Tamandua tetradactyla: one gene and its partner. The protein of the gene in region 1 purifies or fractionates together with the protein of each later gene. This does not show direct contact. Links are inferred from orthologs where the notes say so. Each region holds a gene or a part of one and is shown on either strand. Other genes may lie near its edges.

Evidence for each region.
Region 2: the proteins of PRDX5 (region 1) and PRDX2 fractionate together in Homo sapiens (co-fractionation; 3 studies listed by BioGRID). This does not show direct contact. The link is inferred for Tamandua tetradactyla from reciprocal best matches to the Homo sapiens genes PRDX5 and PRDX2.

The regions. Positions count from the first base shown.
Region 1 is NC_135335.1:10,339,146-10,346,596, forward strand, and holds the start of PRDX5 (peroxiredoxin-5, mitochondrial), read right to left. Parts: upstream 3,008-7,451; 5' UTR 2,950-3,007; coding exon 2,788-2,949; intron 1,497-2,787; coding exon 1,362-1,496; intron 185-1,361; coding exon 53-184; intron 1-52. Other genes in the region: TRMT112 (multifunctional methyltransferase subunit TRM112-like protein), read left to right, coding at 3,652-3,729, 3,822-3,923, 4,062-4,151, 4,239-4,340; ESRRA (steroid hormone receptor ERR1), read right to left, coding at 5,245-5,504, 5,812-6,081, 6,177-6,344, 6,764-6,892, 7,050-7,166. UniProt on the Homo sapiens protein: Thiol-specific peroxidase that catalyzes the reduction of hydrogen peroxide and organic hydroperoxides to water and alcohols, respectively.
Region 2 is NC_135337.1:89,828,792-89,835,850, reverse strand, and holds PRDX2 (peroxiredoxin-2), read right to left. Parts: upstream 3,085-7,059; 5' UTR 2,953-3,084; intron 2,474-2,952; 5' UTR 2,465-2,473; coding exon 2,362-2,464; intron 2,275-2,361; coding exon 2,121-2,274; intron 1,530-2,120; coding exon 1,407-1,529; intron 1,257-1,406; coding exon 1,126-1,256; intron 562-1,125; coding exon 476-561; 3' UTR 262-475; downstream 1-261. Other genes in the region: ribonuclease H2 subunit A, read left to right, coding at 5,690-5,816, 6,022-6,093, 6,224-6,350, 6,475-6,562.

The DNA.
Region 1 (7,451 bases):
AGAAAAATCTCCTGCTTGGGCCCTGAGCCCCTTCAGGACCCCTGCACCTTACCTTGCCATCCACGTTGTGGGCTCGCCCCCACTCGCCAGTCACAAAGACATCATTGACACTCAGACATGCCACCACTTGGATGCCCTTGGCCTTCATAGCCCCAGCCTGCTCCACAAACCCCGGCAGGTGCGTCTGGGGAGGAGAAACTAAGGGTCAACAAGGAATGATCTTCAGGCCCCCCTAACTTCCCTGCTTTGACTCCTTTAATCAACGAAAACTATGTAAACCAACCTATTTCCTTGTTTGCCTTGGCCACAAGGAAGCTCAGATCCAAACTTAAGGTTGTGGGGTCAGGACCACGGATTTTTTTTTCAATTTTTTAATTTAAAAAAATATATGTAACAACAAACAAATGCAAACGTTCTTAATTTATGATTATTCCATTCTACATATATAATCAGTAATTCACAATATCATCACATAGTTGCATATTCATCATCATGATCATTTCTTAGAACATCTGCATTAATTCAGAAAAAGAAATAAAAAGGCAACAGAAAAAAAATCATACATACCATACCCCTTACCCCTCCCTTTCACTGATCACTAGCATTTCAATCTAAATTTATTTTAACATTTGTTCCCCCTATTACTTATCTTTATTCCACATGTTTTTTACTCTTCTGTTGATAAGTTAGATAAACGGAGCATCAGATAAAGGTTTTCACAATCACACAGTCACATTGCGAAAGCTATATCATTATACAATCATCCTCAAGAAACATGGCTACTGGAACACAGCTCTACATTTTCAGGCAGGTTCCTCCAGCCTCTCTGTTACATCTTGGATAACAAGGTGATATCTACTTAATGCAAGAATAACCTCCAGGATAACCTCTCAACTCTGTTTGGAATCTCTCAGCCATTGACACTTTATTTTGTCTCATTTCACTCTTCCCCCTTTTGGTTGAGAAGATTTTCTCAGTCCCTTGATGCTGAGTTCCAGCTCATTCTGGGATTTCTGTGTCACGTTGCCAGGAAGGTCCACACCCCTGGGAGTCATAGAAACATGGATTATTTACCTGGATTATTTGCCTTTCAGAGTACCTGCCACTCAGCAGGGTCAACAAGGGGGTATTGAGCTTAATCACAATAATTCCTTTCTCCTACATTCCTTGTGGTTACCTTTCTGCAGCCTCCACTTACTTTCTGAACACTCTAAACATAGCTTTTTTTTACTCTCAGGCTACCTAGGTTCCTTGGTGGCAAGCCGCCTCAGGCCTTTGGAGGGATATGTGAAGGACTTAAAAGCAATGCAAACATTTTCAAAAGATCCAGATTCCTAATCTCAAGAAGGGCAGGGCCTCACCTTGGAGCAGCCCGGGGTAAATGCCCCGGGGACTCCAAACAGCACTCCCTTCTTGCCTCTGTACAGCTCCGCCAGGTTCACCTTGTTCCCAGGCTCCCCTTCAAACACCTCCACCGGTGGGATGGCATCGCCCACCTAGAGGGAAGGGCTCCAAGGTTAGGAGTTGAGAGGTGGGGGGAGGCCCAAGGAGGGACAGCAGCAAACCAGAGCCAGGAGGGAATGGGGGGAGGTCTGGTGGCTGTGCTTGGCAGAGCCCGGGGGGAAAAAAAGTCCAGCCCTGTCAGAGTTTCCAGAGGTCCCTCCCTGCTGCCCTCCCCTTCCCCCCGACTCTCACCCGCCTGGTTGCCCCATATCCTCCAGGGGTCAGTGAGGCCCTGTCCCCTCATAAGGATCCATTGGTGACACCAAAGAAAGGGAGAGAAGGCCTTGCACGGTGTCGCAAGGGATTGAGTCAACAAGTTGTAAGGGTTATGGGAGAAGAGTGGGGCCAAACCCGCAAGGGGAGGAGAAGCAGGGGGGAAGGGGGTTGTTGGGTTGGAAGGAATACTGGACAACAGGGAAAGCATGGATCCTGGCCAGCCATGGAGAAAAGGAAGGAAGGCAGGAGGGCAGTAACAAGGTGGGAAGGGGAAGATCCCGGCCCTATGCAAGGGGGGTAAAATGAAAGGAATCTCTTAAGGGGGAGGGATCAGTGCATCTGGGAATGTGAGAGGGCTCCATGGGGATGGAGGAGGTAAAGATAGGAGGAAGGGAGGCTGAGAGATGGAGGATCTCTCAGTAGGTTGGAGGATGGTGAAACAAGGCGAAGGGCCTCGGAAGGGTGTGGGAGGGGAAGAGGGGGTTGAGTTCCAAGGAGTGGGGGACAGCTCCAGAAGATGGGCGGGAGGAGAGACTCAACTGAAGTGTGGGGGATCGCCTCGGGAGGAGGAGGAGGGGAAATCGGAGTGGCATGGGGAGACAAAACGAGGGCTCAAAGGGCTGACAGCTGTTCCATACGATTAAGAGTGATCCAAGCAATATGACAAAAGGGAGGGGAGGGTGGCGCGGCGGGGTAAAGAGGGTTCTGGGGCAACGGAGATGGTTGGTTTCCAGAAGGTGGGAAAGGCCACGGCATTCAAACAGCGGAAAATGGCGGAGACCACAGCAGTGTCGCAGTCGACACGCAGCGGGAATCGAGGGGGGAGGGTCCAGAGCCCGGAGGCTGTTCCAGGAGATCCTGCACGAGGTCCCAAAACTTGGCGAGAGGGGGTGGCAGTCACGGGTGTCTCGATGAGGGGGTGAAGGGGCTGGACCGCGGGAGGGACCTCTGGGGCGGCGGAGAGGGCTCCGGAGGGCGGGAGAGAGGACCCCACCTTCCCCACCGGAGCGGGACGAGGGACGGCCTCGGGAAGATGGGGGGGTCAGGTCTGACGGGGCCGACGGTCACCTTAATCGGCGCCATGGCTGCGGCGGCGCTGCTGAAACCGCACGTGCACCCTCCTCCTCCTTCCAGGCGTAGGCCCGTTCCCACCGCTACCGCTCGGGTAAACTCGACGGCGGTCGCCCGAGGGAGCGCGGAGTTCGCGCGGCGCCCCACAAGGCGCAGCATACGCAGCCACTCGCCGGGCGCCACGGCCGCGACCGCCCCTTCGACCCCGGCGGGGGCGGAGCCGCGCCGGCCGCAGAAGGCGGAGCCTCGGCCGCGCCCGGCCCCCAGCGAAACGCCCTCACTGCGCAGGCGTGGACGGCCGCGCTGCGGGCCGGGCTTCCGGGATTCAGGGCTTGTTTGCATTAGGGGCTGGGTCGCTGATACCTTCTCCCCCTCTCAGTGGGCGTAGCTCGCGACGATCCTGCAGGTTCTTTGCAGACAAGGATGGGGTGCCGCTTTATTTTGAGGGGCCTCATTTATAGTTGGGGCAATAGCGCACCTCATTAGAAGGGGAGGGCTGGTGTCAGGAGCCCGTGCACAAGCAAAACGCATGTCTATCTGACATTTAACGAGGTTCCCTGCACTGCAGCTGTTTTACATATAATTTGCATCCCGATAGCGGGTGAAGGTTTGGCTTCAACCAAACCACTAGGCGGCGTGCGACATAACGATCTCCCGCGGAGCCGCTTCCGGGAGCAGCGCGTGACTGAACCAGGTCTTCCCTATGTCTCTGCTTGGCCGAGCACGAGCCCTGACAGCAGTTTCGCTGCTTCCGGTCTTTTGGCCGCCCGATAGGCTAGCTAGCGGCACCGTCCCGGAAGTGACGTTTTGGCGGGGCGGTATATTTCCGGTTCCTGCCTGGGTAGGACGTTTAGCCGCGACATGAAGCTGCTCACTCACAACCTGCTAAGCTCTCACGTGCGGGGGGTGGGGCCCCGTGGCTTCCCCCTGCGTCTCCAGGTACCGATCCGCGCAGACCCACGCCCCTCTCCCGGGTGAGCTGCGGATATCAGAGTCCGATCCCCTTTCTAACTAATCTCTTCCCACTGCAGGCCACCGAGGTCCGCATCAACCCGGTGGAGTTCAACCCGGACTTCGTAGCGCGTATGATACCCAAGGTGGAGTGGGCAGCGCTTCTGGAGGCGGCCGATACTGTGAGGACCCTCCCCCCACCCCGCCTGTGCCTAGCGGGGGAGGTGGTCTCACCGCACCCTCTCACACCCGGCCCGGGAGCTCGGCCTGATGGGGAGGGTCGGGGATGGCCGGAGATGATTTAGGCTTCTTGCCCACAGTTGCATCTGGTCGAGGTGCCCAAGGGACCAGTTGAGGGGTATGAGCGAGATGAGACATTTTTGAGGAAGATGCACCACGTGTTGCTAGAGGTGAGAACCGGCTCACACTTTGCTTTCCCGGCCATGCCACCCCTCCCTTAGGGCCCAGGTGTTCAGCTGTTTTCCCTCTGCCCACAGGTGGATGTGTTGGAGGGCACTCTGCAATGCCCAGAATCTGGACGTCTGTTCCCCATCAGTCGCGGGATCCCCAACATGCTGCTGAGTGAGGAGGAAACCTAGACCTAGCCATGCCAGGCACGGACCAGCTGATCATTCTGTGACATTCTTTATGTCTGTACATTGTTAACTGTCATGTTCATGTCCAGCCCTCGACCCAATGACACACTGAACACACTGTGTTCTTGAGCTTGATATTATATATATTTTTTCTCATTAAAGGTTCAAAACCAAAAGCGGTTTCTCTTTGCAGCAAATATACATTAAAATAGAGTCTCTGTACAGCCAAGGGCACTGGGCCCTGGCTTGCCCCATGTCCCTGCGCCTCCCTGGCCAAACCCAAAAATAAATATAGTGTTATTGCTCTGCAGGGCATCGAGGCAGTGCTCTCCCTCCCCCTGAGGAGGCTGGGTGGGAGCTGATGGGGGACCCTGGCCACCCTAGGGGGTCCAGGGGCTGGAGCCTGCTTGGAGTTATTGCTTCAAGGGGGGTGGGCAACAGTGCCCAACGCAAATGATGAGGAGAGGAGCGAAGGGGGCAGGGGCCTTTGCTCTCCAAGTCCCACTCTGCTCTGTAGAGGGGGTTGGATTAAGTAGCAGCAAAAGCATCACCCACTGGGAGACTGTGGCCTCCACCCCCTTCCCTCCCTGAGATCAGGCTTCTGCCCCCCACAATTCCCCTGCACCCCCTATGGCTTCCGCAAGGCCCCCGACAGTCTGGGGGCACATTATGGCTTGCAAGGGGCAGCACTGTGCCCAGAGCCCGGGCACACACATCCCCAGCTTCTGACGCCCCCTGGGAGTGGGGAGGGGAGGGCGTGGGGCCTGCTCCCAGGGGCTGATGGCATTGCCCTGGCCCTGCCAGCAGGCTGTGGCACTGCCCAGACCCCAGCTCTGCCCCCTTGGGGTTGAACCCATGCTGGGCGGGTCCTGCCAGCACCCCCACCCACCCACACCCTCCCCCTGCCTCAGTCCATCATGGCCTCGAGCATCTCCAAGAACAGCTTGTGCATGGGCACCTTGCCCTCCAGCTTCACCCCATAGAAATGGGCCAGCACTTTGCCCGCGGTCTGGCGAAGGAGCGGTAGGGTGAGCAGCAGTCTGCCTGCCCGTCGCCGCTCAGCACCCCCTCCAGGGCCTGCCCGGCCAGCTTCATACTCCAGCAGGGCCTCATGCAGGGCTTCTCGCAGCTGCTCCACAGCCTCAGCGTCCTCGATGTGCACAGAGTCTGTAAGCAGAGGGGAGAGAACTGTTGACTTGCACCATCTCCAGAAAGAGCAGGGGCCATCTGTCCTCACCTATAGCTGCCTCCAGTCCTCCCCACTTCACCTCCCACTAAACTGTACTCCCTTCCAAGTGAGCACAGTACTAAGGCTCAGATTCTTGGCCTTGCCCTTGGCTTACTTCGTGACCTTCAGGAAGTCACTGTTCCCTGAGCTGCAGTTTCCTTTATCTGCAGAACGGGCTGTGCTATCAGAGTTAAAGACCAGAGGGCCCAATGGAGAGACCTATCAGTGCCTGCTCCAGACTCTCACCCGAGTTGGCCAGGGCCAGGGCCTTCAGCAGAACGTATTCCTCCCGCTCGAGCCTCAGGGCCTGTAGCCGCCGCACCAGTTGCAGGAGGGCAGCCCCCAGCTCCCCCAGGCCAGCTGCCCGTGCTCCCTCTTCATCCAGGACCAAGTCCTCCGCGAAGGCCAGCTCATCCTGCAGCGGCAGCGAGCGCTGGGCCACGCCCAGCACCAGCACCTCCATCCACACGCTCTGCAGTACTGACATCTGGTCGGACAGCGACAGAGACGAAAAGCCTGGAGGGTGGGGGTGGGCAGCCAGGCTGAGCAAGCGTGCCTGGGGCCAAGCATGGCCTGCACAGGGGAGCCCTCAGACCACCTGAGCTCTTTACCTGGGATGCTCTTGGCCCAGCTGATGGTGACCACAATCTCTCGATCGAAGAGGTCACAGAGGGTAGCCACAGCTGGGAGGTGTCCGTCAGGACCCACTGGGTCGGGCATGGCATACAACTTCTCGGGCTCAACCACCAGCAAGTGAGACACCAGTGCATTCACTGGGGCTGCAGTGACAAGTCGGAGGACGAGGGTCAGGGGCACTCAAATTCATCAGACATCACAGTCCCTTCAGAGTCAAGCCTCTTGTTCATTCTCCTAGTGGCCTTCCCTGATAGCCGTTGGGCAGCCTGGCTCAAATCCATCCCCCAAAGGCAAGGCTCTCACTACTTCCCAGGGAAAGGCTGGGGACTGGCTCTATGAGTATTAGAAAACCCTTCCCAGTTCCCTCCTATGTTTCTCTGTGCCTGAGGCAGGAAAGGCCTTTAAATAAATATTTCTTGGAGAAATGAATAAATGAATGAAGGCGAAATGTGGGTCCTAGGGCCCAAGGTAATAACTCTCCTGGGTAGATGATGCCAGACAGGCTTCTCATGCCCCAGCCCGATCCTAACCCTAGAGCTCCAGGTACCCACAGCGCTCTCACCTGTCTTCCGGGGACCCCCAGCTACTGCCAGTGGTCCAGCAGGGAAGGGACCCGGGAAAGGCAGCGGGTCCACCTCTGGTCGCCGCTTGTACTTCTGTCGTCCGCCCCGCACACGGTCCAGACGCACCCCTAAAGTGTAAAATGGGACCGTGTCTGTAGGGTGGCTCTGCAGAGCCCTCCTCCTTAGTCCCTTGGCCACCAGCCCTTCCTAAGCCTTGCCCAGCAAGGGCCCTGCAAGCCCAGCTCCCCCCAAGCCTGGCCCAGGCCCCCCCTGCCCCGTGCTCACCCTCCTTGAGCATGCCTACGCGCAGGCACTTGGTGAAGCGGCAGGCCTGGCAGGCCTTGCGTCTCCGCTTGGTGATCTCGCACTCATTGGAGGCCGGACAGCTGTACTCGATGCTCCCTGCCAGGAAGAGGCAGGGCTCCAGTGGCGGCCTCCCAAGGCCTGGAGGGGGCCCAGCTGACAGGAGAGCCCTGACTCGCCCCGGCCAAGCACAGGTCTGGGGGGTATGGGGAGGAAAGGGAGAGCAGGAGTGCTGTGAGTGGGGCGGGGAAGTCCGGGGAGCGAGGGGAAGGGCCGCTGTGCTGGGGTGGGGGGGTCCTGCCTGGGCAAGGGAGGATCTGGGACCTAGGGAGTCAGCTGGCACTTCTGCCGCAAGCCGCGGGGCCAGCCACGCCTCTGGGACAC
Region 2 (7,059 bases), on another chromosome or scaffold:
ATGCTCTGTCCTGCCTGGCCAGGATTCAGCATGTCACACAGCCTGGGATTGCTCCCTGCAAGGGGCAAACACCCCAGTTCCCCCAGTCCCCCCTCCTGCCAAGGAAGAACAAGTAGAGGGAGCATGAAGTAAGGCTGCCACCTTGTGGTGGCGGTAAATAACTACAGGATCAGTTTCCCAGACAGGAGGCCTGAGACACCACTTGGTGGGGGTGGGGCAGGGGGAGGGGAAGACAGACTAACACACCCAGACACACTCACATCTGTCCCTAACACTTTATTGGTTCCCCCCAAGCCTGTGCCCAGCTGAGTGGGATCTGGGCAGAGGGGATTTCTCAGGTCCCAGGTGGGGGCATCAGAAGAACCTTGGGGCCCCAAACCGGGAAGCTACAGGGGTCTTTCCTAGGGTCAGCACTGGGCACCCAGGCAGCGGCGTGGCTGAGGGCAGAGGGCCCAAGCTTCACCCGCCTGCTGGCCTAGTTGTGCTTGGCGAAGTATTCCTTGCTGTCATCCACGTTGGGCTTGATTGTGTCGCTGCCCGGCTTCCAGCCCGCGGGACAGACTGTGGAAGACATGAGAACTGATGTGTGAGCCTACAGCCCCATTTTCCAGGTAGAGGCAGGGGGGAGGGAGGAACAGATACAAAGCAAGGGCCTGAGTTGCAGTAGAAAAACCTAAGAACCAATTGGTCCAGGCTCAAAAAGAGAAGCCCCATCCCATCACCCTCCAAGCACCTGTTTATCCTCACAGGCCCAGCTGCAGTATCTTCTGCCTCATCATTTTCCTTCTCTTATTCTCACTTGCTTTTTGGTGTTTTCAACCCCATGTCTCACCCTCAGCCCCAGTGCTACTGGACTTGAGCATCTACATTCAGACTCTTTAACCAGGATCCAACTAACATACCCCAAGCCTAATGTGCTATATGCAACCTCGAATACCTTCTATGGTTCCCTATGACCTCCCAGCTGCGCACCCTTACAAGGAGGCATCTCCTCCACCAGACTAGAAACTCCTTGAGCTGAACCTTCTTTGGGGGCCCTAACATGCCCCTACCCCTGCTCAGGTGATAGGGCAGGCAGTGATTGTTTGCAAGAGCCACTGAGAGGCTCTCTGTGTGTCCACTCACCTTCGCCATGCTCATCCGTGTACTGGAAGGCCTGGACTAGGCGTAGGGCCTCTTCCACGGAGCGTCCCACGGGCAAGTCATTCACTGTGATCTGACGAAGGATTCCCTTGCCATCGATGATAAACAGGCCCCTGAAGACATCAGGGTTCAGTAGTGAGGAGCTGGGACACTCCCTGTGGCCAGGAGCTGGAGGGAGCATGGACCACCTCCAGCCACAGAGCTGGGGATAGAGGGGAAATGGGAAGGGGGCTCCCTGAGGGTGGGGGAGGGTCCCTCAGTACCTGTAAGCAATGCCCTCATCTTCCTTCAACACCCCATAATCATGGGACAGGCTTCTGGTCACGTCAGCCAGCAGGGGGATGTTCAGCGGGCCCAAGCCTCCCTCTTTCCGCGGGGTGTTGATCCTGGGGGTGGGGGAGACAGGGCTGGGGCCTCAGGAGGTCCCACACAGTGAGATCCTTACCCTTTGCGCCTGGGTGATAAGGGCTGGAGTGGGATGCTGGAGGCAGGAGATATTGGGGCCCTGGGAGTACCACCCACCCCACCCTGAACTGGGTGCAGGAGCTGTTTCCCACAGCTGGGAAGACTAAAGCCCCTGCACTCATGTGCAGGCTTATGCTCCAGCAAATCCTCTTTAGGCATCCTCATGGCCTCCAGCCTGAGGCAGGGATCCTGCCATCACATCTCCATCCTCCTTCCCTTCCTGGAACTGGACTTTCCACCTTCAAGTACTAAGGCAATCCCGCCTTCCTCCCAGGGACTATAGGGAAAAAAAGCATGTGCAACTCCCAAGCCAAGCAGCTCGTTTCCACATGCTCATTGCTGTCAGCAATCCTTAATGACCAGGGTGTTTTCCATGGAAATAATTTCCGTGATTCTCAAGGTGGTGAAAGGGAGGGTAAGAGGTTGAGCAACGGCGAGGCCAGCACGGACGACGCTAGGATGGGAACCTAGTTGCGCCCCACCCTCCCCCTCCCCCCAGTCCCGGCTCCTACCAAGCTAGGTGGGTGAACTGGGAATCGACAGAGGCTCCTAGCACCTCGCAGCCCAGCTTGCGGAAGTCCCCGGCACGCTCGCTGAAAGCGATGATTTCGGTGGGACAAACGAAGGTGAAGTCCAAGGGGTAGAAGAAAAGGACCACGTACTTCCCTGGGTTGGGGGTGGGAGTGGAGAGGTCGCGCGTTAAGGCCCAGGCCTCCTTCTGCCCGGGCCCCACCCGCACCTGGGGTCCCTCACCTCTGTAGTCCGAAAGCTTCACCTCCTGGAAGGCGCCGTCCACCACGGCCGTGGCGTGGAAATCCGGGGCGGGCTTCCCGATGTGCGCGTGGCCGGAGGCCATGGCTGAAAGCTGAGACCCCCACGCCCCACCCCCAGCCGGGTCAGCGCGCCCCGGAGGCCCCTTTGTCCTCCTTTCCCAAGGTCACACTGCGTGCGGACCGCGGAGACCGAGCGAGAGCGGCGCAGCCGGCAGCGGTGACCCCCTCCCTCCCCGGTACCGGGTATTGCGCGGCCCCGAGGCTGCTGGGGACCCGGCCCCCTTGACCGCGGCACGTGCGGCCTGGCCGCTACCGCCGGGTCCCCAGTTCGCGCGTCGGAGGGAGCGCGGTGGCTGCGGGGTCCCCACCCAGTGCCGGGAGGAGACGGCAAGGGCCCCCGCGAGCAGGGGGCGGGGACTCCGGCCGCCCGGCCTCGGTTTCCCCTGCAAGGACAAAGGCGGCCGCTGCAGAGGGCGGAAAACAAAGGGCGGCCAGCGATCGGTCCGGATTCCGGCGGGGGCGGCTGGGAAGGGGCTCCTTCCCGAGCCCGGTGCACCCGGGGTGGCGGTACCTGCGTGGACACGGGCGGGACGCACGGACGCAGCAGAAGCGCGGCCTCGGATTTCTCAGCCCCAAGTGCGCGCAGGGCTGCCAGGCCTTTTATGCCCGGCCGGAACCATGACGCGCGCGGGGGGGGTGAAGATGAGCTGAGCCGCCGCGTCCACTGCGCCGGTTTCGGTGGGGGGTGGAGAGCGAGCGGGTGGCCGGGTCCATATGCCCGCGAGCGGCAGGGGGTGGTGGTGGTGGTGGAGGGGAGACATGCAGCCTCCGGGCCCGACCACTGTGCGGATCCGCGGGGGTAGCGCGGGCACGGCGCGGGGCTCCAGCCCCGAGCGCGCCGCGGGCGGTTGGAGCTCGGCATGGCCCGAAGGCGGGCGGCGCTGCTGCTGCTACTGCTGCCCCTGGCGCTCCAGCTGCTGGCAACCCCCTCCGAGGGCTCCCCGGACTACCAGTACTTTGGCGAGCAAGGCGAAGGCGACATCTGGGAGCAGCTGCGGCAGCAGCAGCAGGAAAAAGGTAACCGCAGGGCGGCCGGGGTGAGGGCGCCTAGAGGTGCCCCCCTCACCCCTGCTTTCCCCGGGACGGCAGATCCCGGCTGGGCTCACCACACTGGTTGCGTCTGATTGGGCTGGTTACTTCTCTCTGAGGCTGTTTTTCCATCTGTCAATTGGAAAGGAGATTGCCTTTTAAGCGGCTCATAGCTGGAGAGGGGGCGTGGGCCGGCAATAAAAGCAGATGCACGTGAATTTGTTGTGGGTAAAAGAGCTAGGAGGGCGGGGATGGAGAAAGAAGCTGGAGATCAGCTTGAAAAGTCAGAAGAGGTCCCGGTGGAGGAGATAGAAATCCATTATGAAGCCAAGGCCAAAGATGCAAAGATGCCTTGGGAGGGTGAGTGGGGAAAGAATGGTATGCCAGGGAGAGGGACCCAAAAATGCAAAAGCCAAAAGGCCCAAAAGAGGGCAGGGAAAGGAAAAGGGCTAGGGTGGCAGAGACCTAGAGAAGAAGAGATGGTAGGGAACAAATGAGGTGTCAAGGCCCTGTGAGCAGGCCGTGGGTTTAAGACTGGTGACAGGTTTCTATCTGGTAAGTCCATAAGAAGTGGCAGCTGCTTTAAAAGAATCATAATTGTTTTTGTTCTGTGTGCTAGAACAGCGCCAGAGGCTTTAAGTATCCTCATTCTGTCATTTGATTATGTCATTTAATTTACCATCTGACAGCCCTGCTGGTCTGGTGGCATGGTGCCTGCTGGACAGGTGTCCCAATAGCCAGCACTGAGGGTCTTCTACCACACTCCCAACGGGGCAAGCTGGCACAGGTCGGAAGTGTCAGTTTGCAGTCCCCCTGGGCCGCTCAGCAGATGGGTGAGCTCAGAAGGGTGACTTGCCCTCTCTAGGTCTCAGTTTCCCCACCTGGGACTAGTGGCCATCCCTCTCCATCAGGATTGCTGGGAAGATTGAGAGGAACTGGTCAGAGGCAGAGCCCCAGGAACAGATATGAGCTGGGGTTATTTGTTAGTATCTTTTTTGCCTCCGCCCCAGAGGAGGGTAGAGGCAGGTAGGTCCTCCCCCCCCCCGCCCCACCCCCAAACACAAACCTGGGTCTTTTTCTCGGCCCTTTCCCCCAGACCTGGAAGACTCGATCCTGAGCCCGTGGGGAAAGTGGCGCTGTGTCTGCGACCTGGGGAAGCAGGAGCGCAGCCGGGAGGTGGTGGGCACGGCGCCAGGCCCAGTGTTCATGGACCGAGAGAACCTGGTGCAGGTGCGGCCTTGCCGGCAACGGGACTGTCCATCTTGCCAGCAGGACCAGTGCCATTGGAGGCCCTGAGGCCGGGTGAGAGAAGGGCGTGGAGAGGACAGGCCAGGAGGGGACTGTCAAGTCCAGGGGCATTAGGTTCAGGGGTGAGGATTGGGGATCCACAGACAGAAGGCGTGCACCCCACTGACACCTGGGGAGAAGGGAAGACAGTCAATGGGGGCGAGGACGGGGGAACCAGGACCCTGAGGTTCAGGGGCGGTGGCCTAGGGTCCAAGGCTCTGAGCCCCGCTGAGACGCGGGGGGTGAAGGAGAAACCCGATTTGGGGTTATCAGCCTGCAGCAGGCGGGCGTCGACCTTGAGCCAGGATTGGTAATTGGGGTCTGGGATCCTAATTTGGGGGTCCGGGAGGCTTAGCCCAAACGAGAGGGTAGGGGGGCAGGGACTGTGGGGGAGGAGGGTGGATCCGAGTGAGCGACTGAGAGAGGAAGGGTAAGGGCCACAATTCGAAGGCCTGAGCCCAGGAAGGGGCAGCGATACCTAGTCCAGGGGGCTTGGGCTGGGCCGAGGGCGGGGCGTCAGGGACCCGGAGTCCAGGTAGGAGACAGGAACACAGTGAATGTGGAGTGACCCTTTGTTCTGGAAGCTAGTGGTATCTGGTCTTGTAGGCTCCGAAAGGGCCGGGTCTTTTCATGTCCCCGCCTCAGTTTCCTTCTCCTGGCACCAGACCCCGCCGTCCGGGCTTCGGAGTCCCCGGGGCGGGGCTTGGAAAGTGGCCCCGCCCATCCCGCGTCTCAACCTGAGTGTTCCGCGGTCGGCCTCAGAAACTACAATTCCCAGGAAGCCACGTGGCGGCGACGGCGTCTGCTGGACGGCGTCGGGGGCGTGTCCTGCGCGCTGATTGGTCGGGAGCGAGCGCGCCAGAAGAGCGCCGAGAGCTGCGCGGACACGCCCTCTTCCCGCCGCTGGAGGCTGTGGCCCAGGCGGCGGCGGTATGGATCTCAGTGAGCTGGAGAGAGACAATACGGGCCGCTGTCGCGTGAGCTCGCCGGTGCCCGCAGTGTGCCGCAAGGAGCCCTGCGCCCTGGGCGTCGATGAAGCAGGCCGGGGCCCCGTGCTGGGTGCGCCCCCGGGGCCCGGGGGTGGGGGAGGGGCGCGATAATGGGGTGCGCTTCGCCCATGACCCAGGAGGGCCGGTGATGGCGATGATGATGGCGGCCGTGACATGAACCGGTGGGCGAAAAGAGCGGTGATGGAACAGGGATGAGCGCTTTGAGGAGCTCACTGCTTGGATTCGCCCAGAAATCTGACCCCCTTCCTCTCCAGGCCCCATGGTCTACGCCATCTGTTATTGCCCCGTGTCCCGTCTGGCAGATCTGGAGGCCCTGAAAGTGGCAGGTGAGTCTGGGGTGGTGGGGGGCGGGGATCGGGCGGTTCCGGGGCGTGTGGAAACTGGTGGAGGAGGAGGAGGAAGAGGGCAGGAACCTGGAGAACCAGCGCCCTCCTTCTCTCCCAATCCTCCTCCCAGACTCAAAGACCCTGTCGGAGAGCGAGCGGGACAGGCTGTTTGCGAAAATAGAGGAGGACGGGGACTTTGTGGGCTGGGCACTGGATGTACTGTCTCCAAACCTCATCTCTACCAGCATGCTCGGGCGGTGAGGGGTCCCCTGGGAGGGGCGGGATGGAGGGGCAGCCAACGCCCTGAGGGAGGCAGAGAGCACTTGCTCACTGGGCCCTTTGGCTGGAAAGGGGTTAACCAGGCTGTGTCCCCTACCTCAGGGTCAAGTACAACCTGAACTCCCTGTCCCACGATGCAGCCGCCGGGCTGGTGCAGTACGCCTTGGACCAGGGTGTGAAAGTCTCCCAGGTGAATCTGCTGACAGGTATCAATCAGAACTACTCTGATACCTGGATTGCTCCCACCTCAGGATAAAATGGGGGTAAAAAACGCAGATTGAGCATTAGATGCATTACAAGTGCCTCATGAATGTCTGAATGTTTGCTGTTGACATCCTCTCCTGTCCCTGCTCCAAACTGCAGGCTTCACTGAGAACTACCTTGGAGCCCCCAGCCCCTCACTCTCCCATCTAACCTACCCTCCAATCCTAAATGCTCAGTGTCCAGAACAAATCTCATCTCTGCCTACTTGTCCTCAGCCTCTGTCCTCGCTCAGGACTTCCCCCTTGCTGGGATGCCTGTCCTGGCCTCCTCCATGGCCCCTCTACCACCAGTGTTACTTCCCTTTGGTCTGAGCCCCACCCAGCAGACGCAGTCATCTCTGTAATATGTAAATTTCAACATTTCCTAATAATAGTGGAAATTAAATTTGGAAAACTCACAATTTAAGTGGGAAAGGTGAGGATT